Linked DNA regions of Mus musculus: regions 1 and 2 are each reported to be linked to region 3. The links are microRNA targets in miRTarBase. Many come from high-throughput screens and were not tested one by one. Region 3 holds a microRNA gene; each other region holds the end of a gene's coding sequence.

Region 1 (4,000 bases), not on the chromosome of region 3:
GGTTCTCCCCACTCAGGCTAGAGAGGAAGGGCGCCCAACAGAATCCACTTTCCTCCCCTCCCTCGCTCAGCCCTCATCCCAGCTCTGGGGTGCACAGATCTACAAACCTTGCACCAGCGCTAGCTAGCTACTAGGCACAGAGGAAAGGAAGGCCCAGAGAAGACTCCCACTCTGTAAAAGGCAGCCAGCGACACCTCAAAAGAAACTCTGGTTTCCCTCAGTGTCGCATCGGGAGAATGGGAGGTGGGGCCCAGCTGCGGCTGGCTCCCGGCCTGGGTACCAGAAAGAGACCTTCAGCTCAACCCAGGCTGGGCGCTTGATGCAAATAGCAGCCCTAGGCAGGCAGGCAGGCGGGACCCACCGGCCACTACTTTGCTTGCTGGATTTGTGTAATAAGAAAGTGAAACTCAAAAAGCAGGTGGGGGTGGGGAACACACAAAACAAACCATCAGCAGCGTCGTGTTGTGTCTTGTATAGTTTGTGTTTCTTCCTACTGTTTTCTGGTAAGAAAACACTATGAACAAAAAAGCACCAATAAAACATCACCCCATGATATTGTAGACCAGCATTGTGTCTCAGACAGTGCAGACATGCTGCTTAAATCAGGGCGCCTGGGGTGCGGGTGGGGGCGGGGGTGGGGTGGGGTGGAGATGGGGAGAACCTATGCAGTGAAATAGACTTTACTCGGAAAGTTTCAAACCTTTACTATTTAATATAAAACAGCTGTGTTGGGGCGGGGTGGTCAATGGGTAAATACAAAAAAAGGCACTGCAGCTCACTGCTCAAGGCCTGACTTCACAGCCTCAGGCATGCAACTGCTCGACTCTTTTTAAAATTTTTTTTTATAAATAAAATTTCTTTGCTTTAGGATTTTTAAATTGAGCTGTATACCTGTAGTCAACACAGGACTCAAATCAAGGTGGGGGGGGGGAGGTTCTTAAAAATCATCAGAACACAACTTAAAAAATAAAAATAAAAACACTAACATAGCAAACCACAACTAAGTAGATAAATCTATACAGTCAATGAAAAATAAGCTTTTCTTTTTTTCTTTTTTTTTTTAAAAAAAGAATTCTGTTGTTACTAATAACAGACTTTATCATGGGTACCAGCCATAGCGAGTTAATAAGTGACATATCCAAAATAATATCTCTAATAATCAGATAACCATTGCTTCTATATTCAATGAAGGAATAAATAGAAATTCAGATTTGCAAATATACTCTATGGTCTTCTTCCTCTTAAAAGATTCGCACTCGTGTGATTGTGTTCACAAACTGGTTTCTGAATATCCCATGACCTTATGGGTACGTGCGTTGCGTGTAGCGGACTTAAACACCTTCTCTTTCCTACAGGATGAGGAGTCCTATTGTTCCTCTCTGTTAACCTTTCCAGCATCCTCCAAACACTTCCTCAGACCCTCTGGCCTTCCCTTTGGCCTTCGACATTTTAACCTGTTCTGCCTGACATGGGATCCTCCATCCCAGCTCCTTCCCCAACACTGAGCTTGGAAAGGGACACGAGGGATGAATGTTAATGGCACTTGGTTAAAAAAAAAAAGTCTATCTATCTACATATAAAAATTAAACATGCTGCCTCTTTCTGCACGTGAATTTGCATCTTCAAGACTGGGTCACCCAAGGAGTGTCCTGCATCTTTTGTTTCTGGTGTTGTTATAAAGTGCTGATTGGGGTGATGATCCAAGTCGTCCATGATCACTAAAAGCTCAACCTTCTTAAGGTGTCCTTGGCCCTGCACTGTAAAAGGACTTCGAAATCTCTGTTGTAGCATCCAAGGCTCGGCTCGGTTGTCCACCTGTAATCTTGACAGGCAAACACAGTTGTGTGGATTTTTATTAAGGCCTTTAGAATCTGTGTGCACTTCATTAACTTGAAAAAAAAAATAACCATAGGCAAGGTCATTTGCATGGTCTGGTTTTAAATGTCACTTTTTTTTTTTTTTTTAAAGAGGAATCTGTCTTACCCATTTACTAGACAGGCCTTATATTATGTTCTAGATCATGCCTCCGGCTACTCACTCATACTGTCACATTTACGCAGCTAATTCTCCAGTGTGGCACATAATTTCTTTTGGATTCCCTCTGATATCCTCCATTGCATTAAATTCTGAACTATTCTTTGTTGCCCTTAAGAAATAGATCTATTCCCACACGGTGTTACAGTTAATCTCGAACTGTGTAATGTACGTGTGAGGGTTTTCTCTTTTCTGTGCGTGGTTGGATAAACCATCCCACAACACAGCAAATCTCTGACTCACATGCATAGAGAGAGCAACCACTTCTCTCAGGAACTTAACCTTTCCTGCTTCTGTTTCCATTGTCCCCTCTTCCTCCCATGGTGGAGCTGGACCACGGGGACCTATTGCATCTCTGCATTCTCTCTGTGACACTACTGCTGGGCCATTCTCCTTTGGCAGAGATGGAGTGAGAAGAGATAAGACTCCCAGGCCTAGGCTCCTGCAAAGTCTCCATCACAGATGTTTCAGTGTCAGGCTTCATGCAAAAGAAAACCATCAACCCCTGTCTTTCCTTCTCTAGAGGGACTGTTATCCACGTGTGTGTCTGTGGAGGGAGACCGGGGCTGGTAGGATGGAGCCTGTGGGGAGGGTGGGAAGCAAAAAACAGGTCTTGCGTGGGATGCAAATCCAGCCCAGAAAGAGGTTGCAGAGTTTATCATCTCTAGATAGCCTACGAGCAAATCCAGAACTGATCACACAGCGCCATCATCCTGGTGTCCACACCTAGTACTCTGTTCATCTCAGCCACATCCTTATCCTTCAAACCCATCCACACACTCCTCCCACCTCATGGTCGAAGACGGTAACTTGAGGCCTACTTGACTGTAATCACCTTCCCAAGAAGCAGAGCTTGGCAGCCGTTTTTTTTTTTTTTTTAAAAGACAACCCTGCTGCTATTATAAAAATAGATGAGACAGAATGAATCCATAACAATAATCAGTCTTTTACAAAAAAAACCATAGTATGAAGAGAAGTTCTATCCACACTCTACACATTATGTACCCTTTAAAATTCTTATGTAAACAATACACAAATCAAAGTTTATCTGAAAGTTTGCTGGAGGGAATTTCTTCCTCTTGCCCTTGGTGCCATATAGCCCTCTCTTGTGGTTGTTTCAAGCCGGGCCTCGGGGAAATCCGGTCAGGGGAGCCACAAACAGGCTGGCTGCCATCTTGCTCTCCTTGCTTGTGTCCGCTGTCTTCTGCAGCCTGACTGTGAAGCCGGGTTCTGAGAAGGCTCCCCAGGGCAGGGCTTCTACCTCCCTCCTGTGTGTCTCTTGCATATCTCACCTAGCAATACTCTTCCCCACTCCATTTCCATCCAGGAAGCTACTAGCATCCCTCCACCCCCTCCCAGCCCCACATTCCCCCGAGAGTCCCCTCCCCACCCTGCATACCGTCCCATCCCCTGACAGAAACAAATGACAACATAACCAACCCCAGGTCTACTGATATGTTTACAAGGATGACCTACGCTCTCACAAAATCAAAATGGGCGAGGGACCAGGGGAAAAAGGCTGCAAAGTGTCTTGGAAGAGTCTCTGCAACCCTGAAGATGGCTGACACTGGGCCCGCAGCAGTCCATTTCACGGCCAGCGCGGTCACTGTCATCTTCAGTTTCTAGATTGTGGAGGTCCGGTCAACCCCGTCTGTGGAGGAAACCAGAGGACTACTGAGCAAAACCACTCTGGGCTAGCTGTCTACCAGCATGGCCAGCACTTTCAACATACTGGTCTCTAAGATGAAGGCTTTATTTGCTAACTCACTTGCATGCCCACCTACCTGTCCATTCACTTATTCATCCACCCACCTACCATTCACCCACCTAGCCACCCACCTAGCCACCACTCATCCATCCACTCAGCCACCTACACACCCACCCATTCACCTACCCTACCTACCCATCCATCCACTCATTTTCCTATCTACCCACCCACCCACCCACCCACACACACACACCCACA
Region 2 (4,000 bases), not on the chromosome of region 3:
GGTTAAATGAAGTTAGAGTTTTGATCCACCATCTGAGACTAGCCTAATTTGGGGACAAGAACCTGTAGCTTCCAATGTGGCTGTGAGACATTTTTCCTCTTCCCGATCTCATTTACAGTACCCAAACAAAACTTCAAGGACATCTTACAGTATTTTCTTCTTTCACTCAGCTTCAGAGCTGCAGTTTTAGTTACTATAATATACTCTAGACACTTCAAAATTACATCGGAAATACCAGAATACCTAAAATAAATAAAGGGCTAAAGAATGCTGGAAGAGTACTAAGTGTGCACCTGAGACAGAGCCTTCCACTCCCAGCCCTGCAGCGAAGGGCAAGGGCTTCTTTCAACATTTTATATACAGGCTTGAATCCAGAAGGTTAAAAGCATAAATACTGACAATTTCAACTAAATGCAAAATGGTTTCAGAAAGATATAACTACAATGATTTAGAACAGAACAAAGCAGAAGATTGCATTTTGGTTTGCTTGAGATATACATAAGGTGCAACGACTTGTCTTCATGAGGATGCTGTGAGACGAATATTAGTGTGGATGGTGCTTGCTGGCGGATCGCAAGTACACATCAGAGCAACACAGCAACGCCAGTTTCCAGAAGGAGAGACGTGAAATGGAGATGACAACACGGATAGAGTGAAGAAGGACAACGTAACAGACCGAAAGATTTGTGCTAACAAATGTTACCTGAAAATACCAACACCCCTCTCCAGCAGAGCCGGGGCATAAGAAGCACAGCTACTGAAATCAAGACCTCACTTGGAGAACTATAAAGCTTTGCAGGATTTCTGCTACTCTCAGTGCCTAACCGCTTAAAAATTAAGCATTTCTACAAAAAAGGTTTGTTTTTAAAGAATCTGAAAACAGTCATATCCAGTAAGTCCCTCCCCTTCCCACCCTGACTAAAGTAAAAGCCATTGGGGTTTAGGAAAAGCAGACCAGGTAAGATATTAACCATGTAGAAAAAAGTTATCTCTTGTTTGCTTCTTAAAAAAAAAAACTTTCAGGAATATACAGCAATCTCTTAAAGGACTCTAGTGAAATGTATCGGAGGACTGAGGGAGGGTGCTCTGGCAAAAATAGATCTATTCTAATGTGTTCTAGAGAATAACAAGTTAGTACCATTGTCAAGATGCATGTTCTGCACCAATGCAATTGTTGGTTTTCTATTTTTGTTATTATTTTTGGGGGGTTAGCTAATTATCATGTTTAAATCACTGCTAGCAAGTGGTCCAAACGCCAACAGCCACCAACATCAGGACCCAGCAATTTTCAATCATTCAGGTTTTTGTTTTGAAATTTAGAAAATATTATTAAAAGTTATCATAGTAAAAATAGTATGCTAAAATCTGGGGCTCTTCACGCGAATGGGGTTAAGCTATCCCTACTGATTCACCTTTCACCACTTCCTGCTTCCGTCATCCCCACAAGAAACAAAGTCTGAGGACATAATTCTAATACTTTGCTGCCCTCCCCACCTGCTTTGGAAAAACAACAACAAACAAAACAAACCTCTATGTTTTTCAATGCTGTTAGTATTGTTGTACATATTTTCCAGCACCGGAACTGAAGTAATATCTACAACCGTGAGAAGCTAGACCTAGACAGTATTAATAGAGTCATTTTATATGGCTATTAGGTCAAATTACAATTAGAAAAAAAAAACATTACAATTCAGTCAAGTATAAATAAGAAAGCTAGATAAAACCATGTAAACTGTCACCATTTAGAGATCTAATTCAAAAGCTTCAAACTCCAGCTAGCACTATCAAAATTCCACCAGTTTGAAAACTATTAAAAATTATTGCTGGGATCCAAAAAATCAAAATTTGGTAGTTTGTGCTGTGATGCAAGAGTGGGGAAATACTTTGTGCTATGGAACAAATACCCTGTAAAGTCTGTAGCCTCAGATTAATTTTGATGTATCACTTTGCATCTGTTGCTAGGAAACAAGACACTGTGAACATCAGGTGGTTAAGTCAATATGTTGAATGTTGTAAGCCAGTTAAATCCACTTGGCACTGGCATATGGTTGGTTTTATGCTTAAAAGCAACAAAACATAAAAAGGAAACAGAAACTTGTAGGTGGATCTGACTGAGAGGCGTGCTTCAGACACACCTCCCCCCTCGTTTACTCAATACTTCCTCAACAATACAAACTCCAAATGGCTCCTAAAACCTGCAGTGCCTATTAGGCCGTGCATAGCAATCACCACCCGTCTGGTCTGTGTGTGATGGATGTAAAAGGTCTGAAGCTCCAAGTCCATATGAAGTGAGCATCTTCAATGTGTTTAGAATAATGAAGTAATACTAAGGTCACTTCTGAATAATATTTTTGTCTTTTTTTTTGTTTGTTTATATGAACGATCCATTGGTCACTTAGACCCCTGTGTAAAAATAAAAGAATCCTCAAGGCATGAAAACATCAGTAATCTGTAATCTGCAGGATGCTTCCCCTGTCTGGGAAAATATTTGCCACAATTTGCCCCAAGCAAATTCTTCTTGGTCACTCAAGGCTAAGAAAAAAATTCAGATTGTAAGAATTGTAATATTCTCTTTCTCAGTCAGTCACAGTCAGTCAGTCTGTCTCTCTCTCTCTCTCTCTCTCTCTCTCTCTCTCTCTCTCTCTCTCTCTCTCTCTGCCAGCAAACTACCACTACCACTCTGGTGGCAAATATAAAAGTGCAGAATATATGGACCACGAGGCCGAGCATACACCGCTAACAATGGTACGTCTGCCTGCCCGTGCTGCTTGGGAGGCTCTGGTACAGGCTTTTTATATTTATTCTACAATATAAATGTAGGTATAACCTATTATATAAACCATCTTAGAACTTAAATCTTCATGTACAAAAGGCTAAGAATATCTAATAATAACTAGTGCAGTGCGTCAGGGTTTTCTTGTTTGTTTTGAAAGAATAACTAGATAATATATGAAACTAGTTTCACGCTCTCTGGTTGGTAAAAGAGGTGCTGGATGAGCTACAGCAAAGGCAGCCTTTTACCAAGTCACCACTGGTCACCATCAAAAGCCTTCCTTCCATGCAAAGCAAAGGTCTAGGCCACCGGGCTTTCACTCAGTATCACACAGTAGCACTGCCCTCAGAAACCGTGGCTTCTGAAACAACACATGGGCCCAGAATGCTAAGTTCTGCTTCAAGTGGTTCTGGGCTGTGTGGGGCACCAAGCACTTGTCTGCAGTCTGTGCTTCCCACTGCATGGACTCGCTAGCATCCCTGGTAAAGACAAGGCTAGGGTAGAAGGTGAAGCACAATGTTTTACAATTAAAGGGCGCGTCACTGGTCAGCACAAGAAATAAGTACAGGAGCCTGCGGCATTTCTTTTGGCTGTCCATCATGGGTGAGCGGAGTTGATCTCTGGCCTCTGTAAAACAAGAGGGAAAATGTCACTTACTGGGGGCATACAATCTGAGATAGGCAAGGACCAATGAGTGATAGGAACTTTCCATTGTCCCACTCAATAATAATTAATTGCTATTTAGTTCTTTAATTAAAGCTGGATTTGTCCTTAGAATTTTACTCTTGCCTTCCTCTTCTTTCTTTTCTGAAAAGTCATGTGTTCCCCCGACCCTTCCAACCACTTAACAATGTATTTTCTTGTTACCATAACAAGCCTGCCATGCCCGGACAAGCACACTGAGGCTGCCCCTGCCCTGGCCTATGGTGCACAACACAGCACTGAAAACAGCTGAAAAGACAGCAGTGTTTCCACGGGTCTCACTCCCAATAAAGTTCTTCAGGACACACAGGATAAGATTTTAAAATGCAGCAAAACCTGCTTTATAATTATACCCACATTTCTCTTAGTGTGCAAAAAAGAAAAGTAACTCTGTTATATAGAATACTAGAAGTATACACGATATTAAAGATTTTAAAAACAGAATACATACTAGGGCCAAATTTCTATTTACTTGCTCATTCATGTATGGTTGCTGTTAAGTACTAACTGGCCAATAGGTTTAGC
Region 3 (4,151 bases):
TTTTTGTCTTAAATTCTACTGATGCCACTCATTAGAGGTGATACCTTGGTCAATGTTGAGTAAATACCTAAGTACACAGAGCCAGCCTAATGAGGCTCCTTTCTCCCTTCCAGGATGACCATTGATGCAAGATGCTCACTCCACATGCTCAATTTTCCAATGGATTCTCACTCTTGCCCTCTGTCTTTCTCTAGCTGTGAGTACCTTCTTAGGTTTCTGGGGATCCAGAGATACGCTGGGCCCCTCTTTTGCTCATCTTTCCCTTTTAATTTTTCTGCTTCTGCTTTTTTCCTGTGATGGTGCCAAGGTTGCTATAAGCCTCCATTTTCTATCCTCACCCCGTTTCCTGCCAGCAATGCTGTGTGTGCACTACTTTAGCTTTATGTTGAATTCTTCCCTCACTCACCCTTGCTCTACCTTAAGCTAGTCACCTGCTTCTGAAGTGTATCTGAAGTATGCCTGCTCCTCTCCATCTCTGCCTTGATGCGGGGCTTTAATCATCTTCTGCTTGAACTTCTGCAACATCTTCACTTTGAAACAGAATATGTGCTAAGCTAAATTCATTGTCTCTTTCCAACTCCTGCCTCCAAAGTAAATGTGTCGCTTCTGTGTTGCCTCATTCAAGGGTGCCATCATTCACCCAGTTGCCCAAGTCAAGAACTCTGACACCCCCCTCATTGACCTCCTACATCTACTCAGTCCACACATCCTGTTGGTGTTCCCTCCAAATCACTATTGATCTCACCTCCCTCTCTGCATTCTGACTGTTAGCTTTCATTTCTCATTTCAAATCTCCTCTTAGCTGGCATGGATCAATTCTAAATTCCTTCTAATGAACCTCAAAGCCCTTCATGACCTGACCCCTGCTGCTTCCTGCTATATAACCCATCTGTGAGATACTCTCCCTAAAGTTTTGCTGTTTCTTCATTCACCTTTCTGTGCTTTCCTTTCACCTTCTTCAACCTCATCTGTATTGAGAATGTTTATTTTCAAAACTTAAAGTGAATGCCCCATGCTCTAGGAAGTCTTTTCTGATCGTGTCCACAAGTGATCTTTCCCTACTTTACCAGTTGTTCCATGGGTAGAAATATTCAGAGCAACCCCAAGATTTAGAGTTCGATATTGCCTTGCTCAGTGAAATGTGAATGCTGGTTCACACCTTACTCAACTTTGCATTTGAAGCCCAGGGCAAATGTACTTATTGAATGCATTTTGACAACTAGGTCAGAGGCAGGGTCTCAAAGCTGGTGAAGCCAAAGTCAAAAGTCCAAAACATGGCTCAGGCTAACACCATGCTTGTGGGGCCCTCAACTTGGCTTCCCAGTCTCATTCACTCTTTCCCACTTTGATTTCCAGTTTCCTATGATGACAGTGAAATGATCTACAAATGGGAGAATTTCAAGCTCGAAATCAATGCGAAGAACACTTGGAAGCTATTGGAATTTGATTTTACAGGCGTGAACAACAAAACTGAAATCATCTCTACCCCATTTGGTAGGTGGTCAGTGGGAGCTAGAGCTGGGCAGAGTCTGAGGGAGGAGCACCAGTAACTGGAATTGGCTATTTGTCCAAATGCTGTGTAAAGAGGGCATGGAAACACTGTTGAGGGCATCACTCCTCTCTTATATATGCTAAGCAGTTACAACTGTTTGCAGAGGAAACTGAGACTTTATAACTATGTCTCAGTCTCATCTGCAAAGAGGTAAGTGCTTTGCCAAGCCCCTTGAAGAATGGGGTGAGTATATATATTTTTGTAACCTTCAGAATGTTCATCTAACTCTGGGTTTTAGATCCTTTGTATTCAGTGTCTTTGTTATATCACTAACTTACTTAGACAACATTGGAGACAGGTACTCGGGTGATTTCTCCAAACCCTGAATCAAGTCAAGCTGGTTGAGTGAGAAGCAAGAGGTAGAAGTGTGCCACTGACTGGGCCTAATCAGCCCCCCTCAACCTGTGGGAATCAGAGGTTTGGACAGATGGGCATAGAGTCAGCGGGAATTGACAGACACAGACATGAGAGAGTGTGCTGGATCTGAATGTATTTGTCAAATTGAGCATCAAACTTTTTATACAGAAGAAAATAGGGAAGTTGGGTGACACACCAGCAAGGTACAAAGAGGTTACTGGATTCTTACACAAGAAGCTGGAGTCATAATGGTAACTAGTGGGGGTTGGAGAGTCTGCAGGTAATTACTCAGCTGCAGTGGCTGGTACAGTAGCATTATCTTAAAGGAGCAACTCTGAAAAGCATGTATTTTCACCAAAGGCTTCATAGTGGAATCAACATAATCTTTGAAAATTTTCTGATCTTGTTCCTGACAAGGACAATAGGGGCAGATTCTGGGTCTCTTAACTTGTAACTCCTGAACAGATGTGAGCATCTTTGCTTATATTCCTAGGTGATCTGAATGAGGAGCCAAGGAGTCTTCCCAGGGTAGCTCTGAGAGCAACCCTGGACCTTCTTCACATGTACTGACAAGAATGTGGATGGAGCAGGTCACCCAGCCAGCCTTTTGTCATTTATTTTGCTTTGTGTCTGTGTGATGATGACATAAAAAAAAAAAAAAACCTGCTATTGCTACTGATGGTCACTGGGTGAGGGACAGCTTATGCTCATCTGACTAAAGCTTTGCTTACGTAGTACTAGGCAGGGAATGGGTGCTGCTTTTCCTTTTCCTGGGGCTCTGAGAAAGCCACTTTGCTTGCTTTGGCTTGGAATTCTTGCTCTTCTACTAGACAACTATGGGCCTGCCTCTTAGTACTTCAGTTTGTCCAGATAGGTGGAGCCCCATCATCAGAACTGGCAGAAGAGACAAGGCCCGGGGGCTTTTAAGTCACTAGTGGTTCCGTTTAGTAGATGGTTTGTGCATTGTTTCAAAATGGTGCCCTAGTGACTACAAAGCCCCAGAGCCAGCATCATCGGTGAAGCAATGGCAGTAGGTAAGCAACATCTCTTCCTGTGGAGAAAGAAGTAGGTCTTTTCCTTTGACTAGAAACTACTTATTCTGAATTCATAGTGTCTCCACTGTCAGTTATTTTTGAGTCAGGTCCCAACTCTCCCAGTTTGACACCAGGGCAGTTCTTCCTAGCTGGAACATACATGTACTCAATTTTCAGGGTTTTGAATGCAGTGGTGCCCTGAAACTTAGCCCACCTTGGACCTTAAAGCAGAGTTTCTGCTTCAGGAGCTTTTCAGAAAGTGCAGCCTTGTCTGTAGTAAATTAATCATCCTTCACTGATAGCTGTTGAGCCTCTAAGGAAATCTTGCCACGATCAAGAGGTCAGTGTCTTCTTGTAAGATTATTTTCTTCCCTAGACAGTTCCCCCCATTAGGAAATTCTTCTTTCTCATCTAAAATGGGAGTTTCTGGAATATTTCCCCATCAGATCTAGTTCTTTTCTCTTATAACTACCTGGCTTACATTAACTGAAGGTACTCTTCCAAAATCAAATGTAAAGCTCTTGGGTTGGAGCACACACTTGTATTCTATTGGGACTCTTCTCCCCAGTTCCTTTTCTTCTCTTGTTCTTCACTGCCTTCAGTTCACTAGTCCTCTGGACAGTCTTTTAATTGTGTCTTTAGCAGTGCAGCCCCCAACTATGATCTGGAAAAAGAGGTAAGAGCTAAAGTCATCTTTAATCAATTTTGTTTTGGTTTGGCTTTCAGTCCTAGATATGTCTCTTCCATTGGTATTGTTTCTTCACTCATTAGAATGAAGGAAATACATGTTAGTATCCTTTTCTTGTCAAATTTCTAGCTTTTAATAAATAAGAAAGTTTCTTCTTTAATCAGAATGAATAAATTTAAAGGATGAGAAATAAAACAGCACTATACATCTTGTGACAAACATATTAAGAAAATTTTTAATCACAGTCAAGACTCCAGGACAGATGGACTAATAATTTGGTCATTCTGGCAAGTAGTATAAAATGGTCCCTGGTTCAGTGCTAGAGGAATTCTAGTGTTAAAGATCCTACTATTCAGGCAGGAACTTTCCCACTGACCATAGCCATTTACTTGCCTTTCTCTGAAGAACCCAAGAAGCTTTGTTCCTCCAAGGTCAAGTCTTCCAACACTAGGAGGAAGGGTTGCTCTCAGTCTGTACTTGCCCACTCAGACTGGTCAGGCAGGTGGGCTGTTTTTTGTAC

Evidence for each region. Region 3 holds the annotated microRNA mmu-miR-452-3p (UCAGUCUCAUCUGCAAAGAGGU, at 1,683-1,704, shown strand). A microRNA usually pairs through its seed, bases 2 to 8, with sites in the 3' UTR of a target mRNA and lowers its output. Matches are read on the target gene's strand: a 7mer-m8 pairs with bases 2 to 8, a 7mer-A1 pairs with bases 2 to 7 and ends in A, and an 8mer does both.
Region 1: miRTarBase lists Samd4 as a target of mmu-miR-452-3p. Seed matches in the 3' UTR shown: 7mer-A1 at 2,974-2,980.
Region 2: miRTarBase lists Bbx as a target of mmu-miR-452-3p. Seed matches in the 3' UTR shown: 7mer-A1 at 2,595-2,601.

Annotation. Positions count from the first base shown.
Region 1 is chr14:47,101,116-47,105,115 of GRCm38, reverse strand. It overlaps Samd4 (sterile alpha motif domain containing 4), which reads right to left. Exons shown (of 13, transcript NM_001037221.2): 13 at 1-3,685. The coding sequence ends at 3,657. The region is part of intron 3 of Gm10371 (predicted gene 10371); the gene reads left to right. Among named protein-coding and RNA genes, the nearest start is that of Gm10371, 13 kb to the left of the region's middle.
Region 2 is chr16:50,194,247-50,198,246 of GRCm38, forward strand. Bbx (bobby sox HMG box containing) reads right to left here. Exons shown (of 17, transcript NM_027444.3): 17 at 1-3,400. The coding sequence ends at 3,313. Among named protein-coding and RNA genes, the nearest start is that of Gm4827, 120 kb to the left of the region's middle.
Region 3 is chrX:72,259,788-72,263,938 of GRCm38, reverse strand. Mir452 (microRNA 452) reads left to right here and starts at 1,631; the gene lies at 1,631-1,715. Gabre (gamma-aminobutyric acid (GABA) A receptor, subunit epsilon) reads left to right here. Exons shown (of 9, transcript NM_017369.2): 5 at 114-196; 6 at 1,357-1,494. Mir224 (microRNA 224) reads left to right here and starts at 2,827; the gene lies at 2,827-2,908.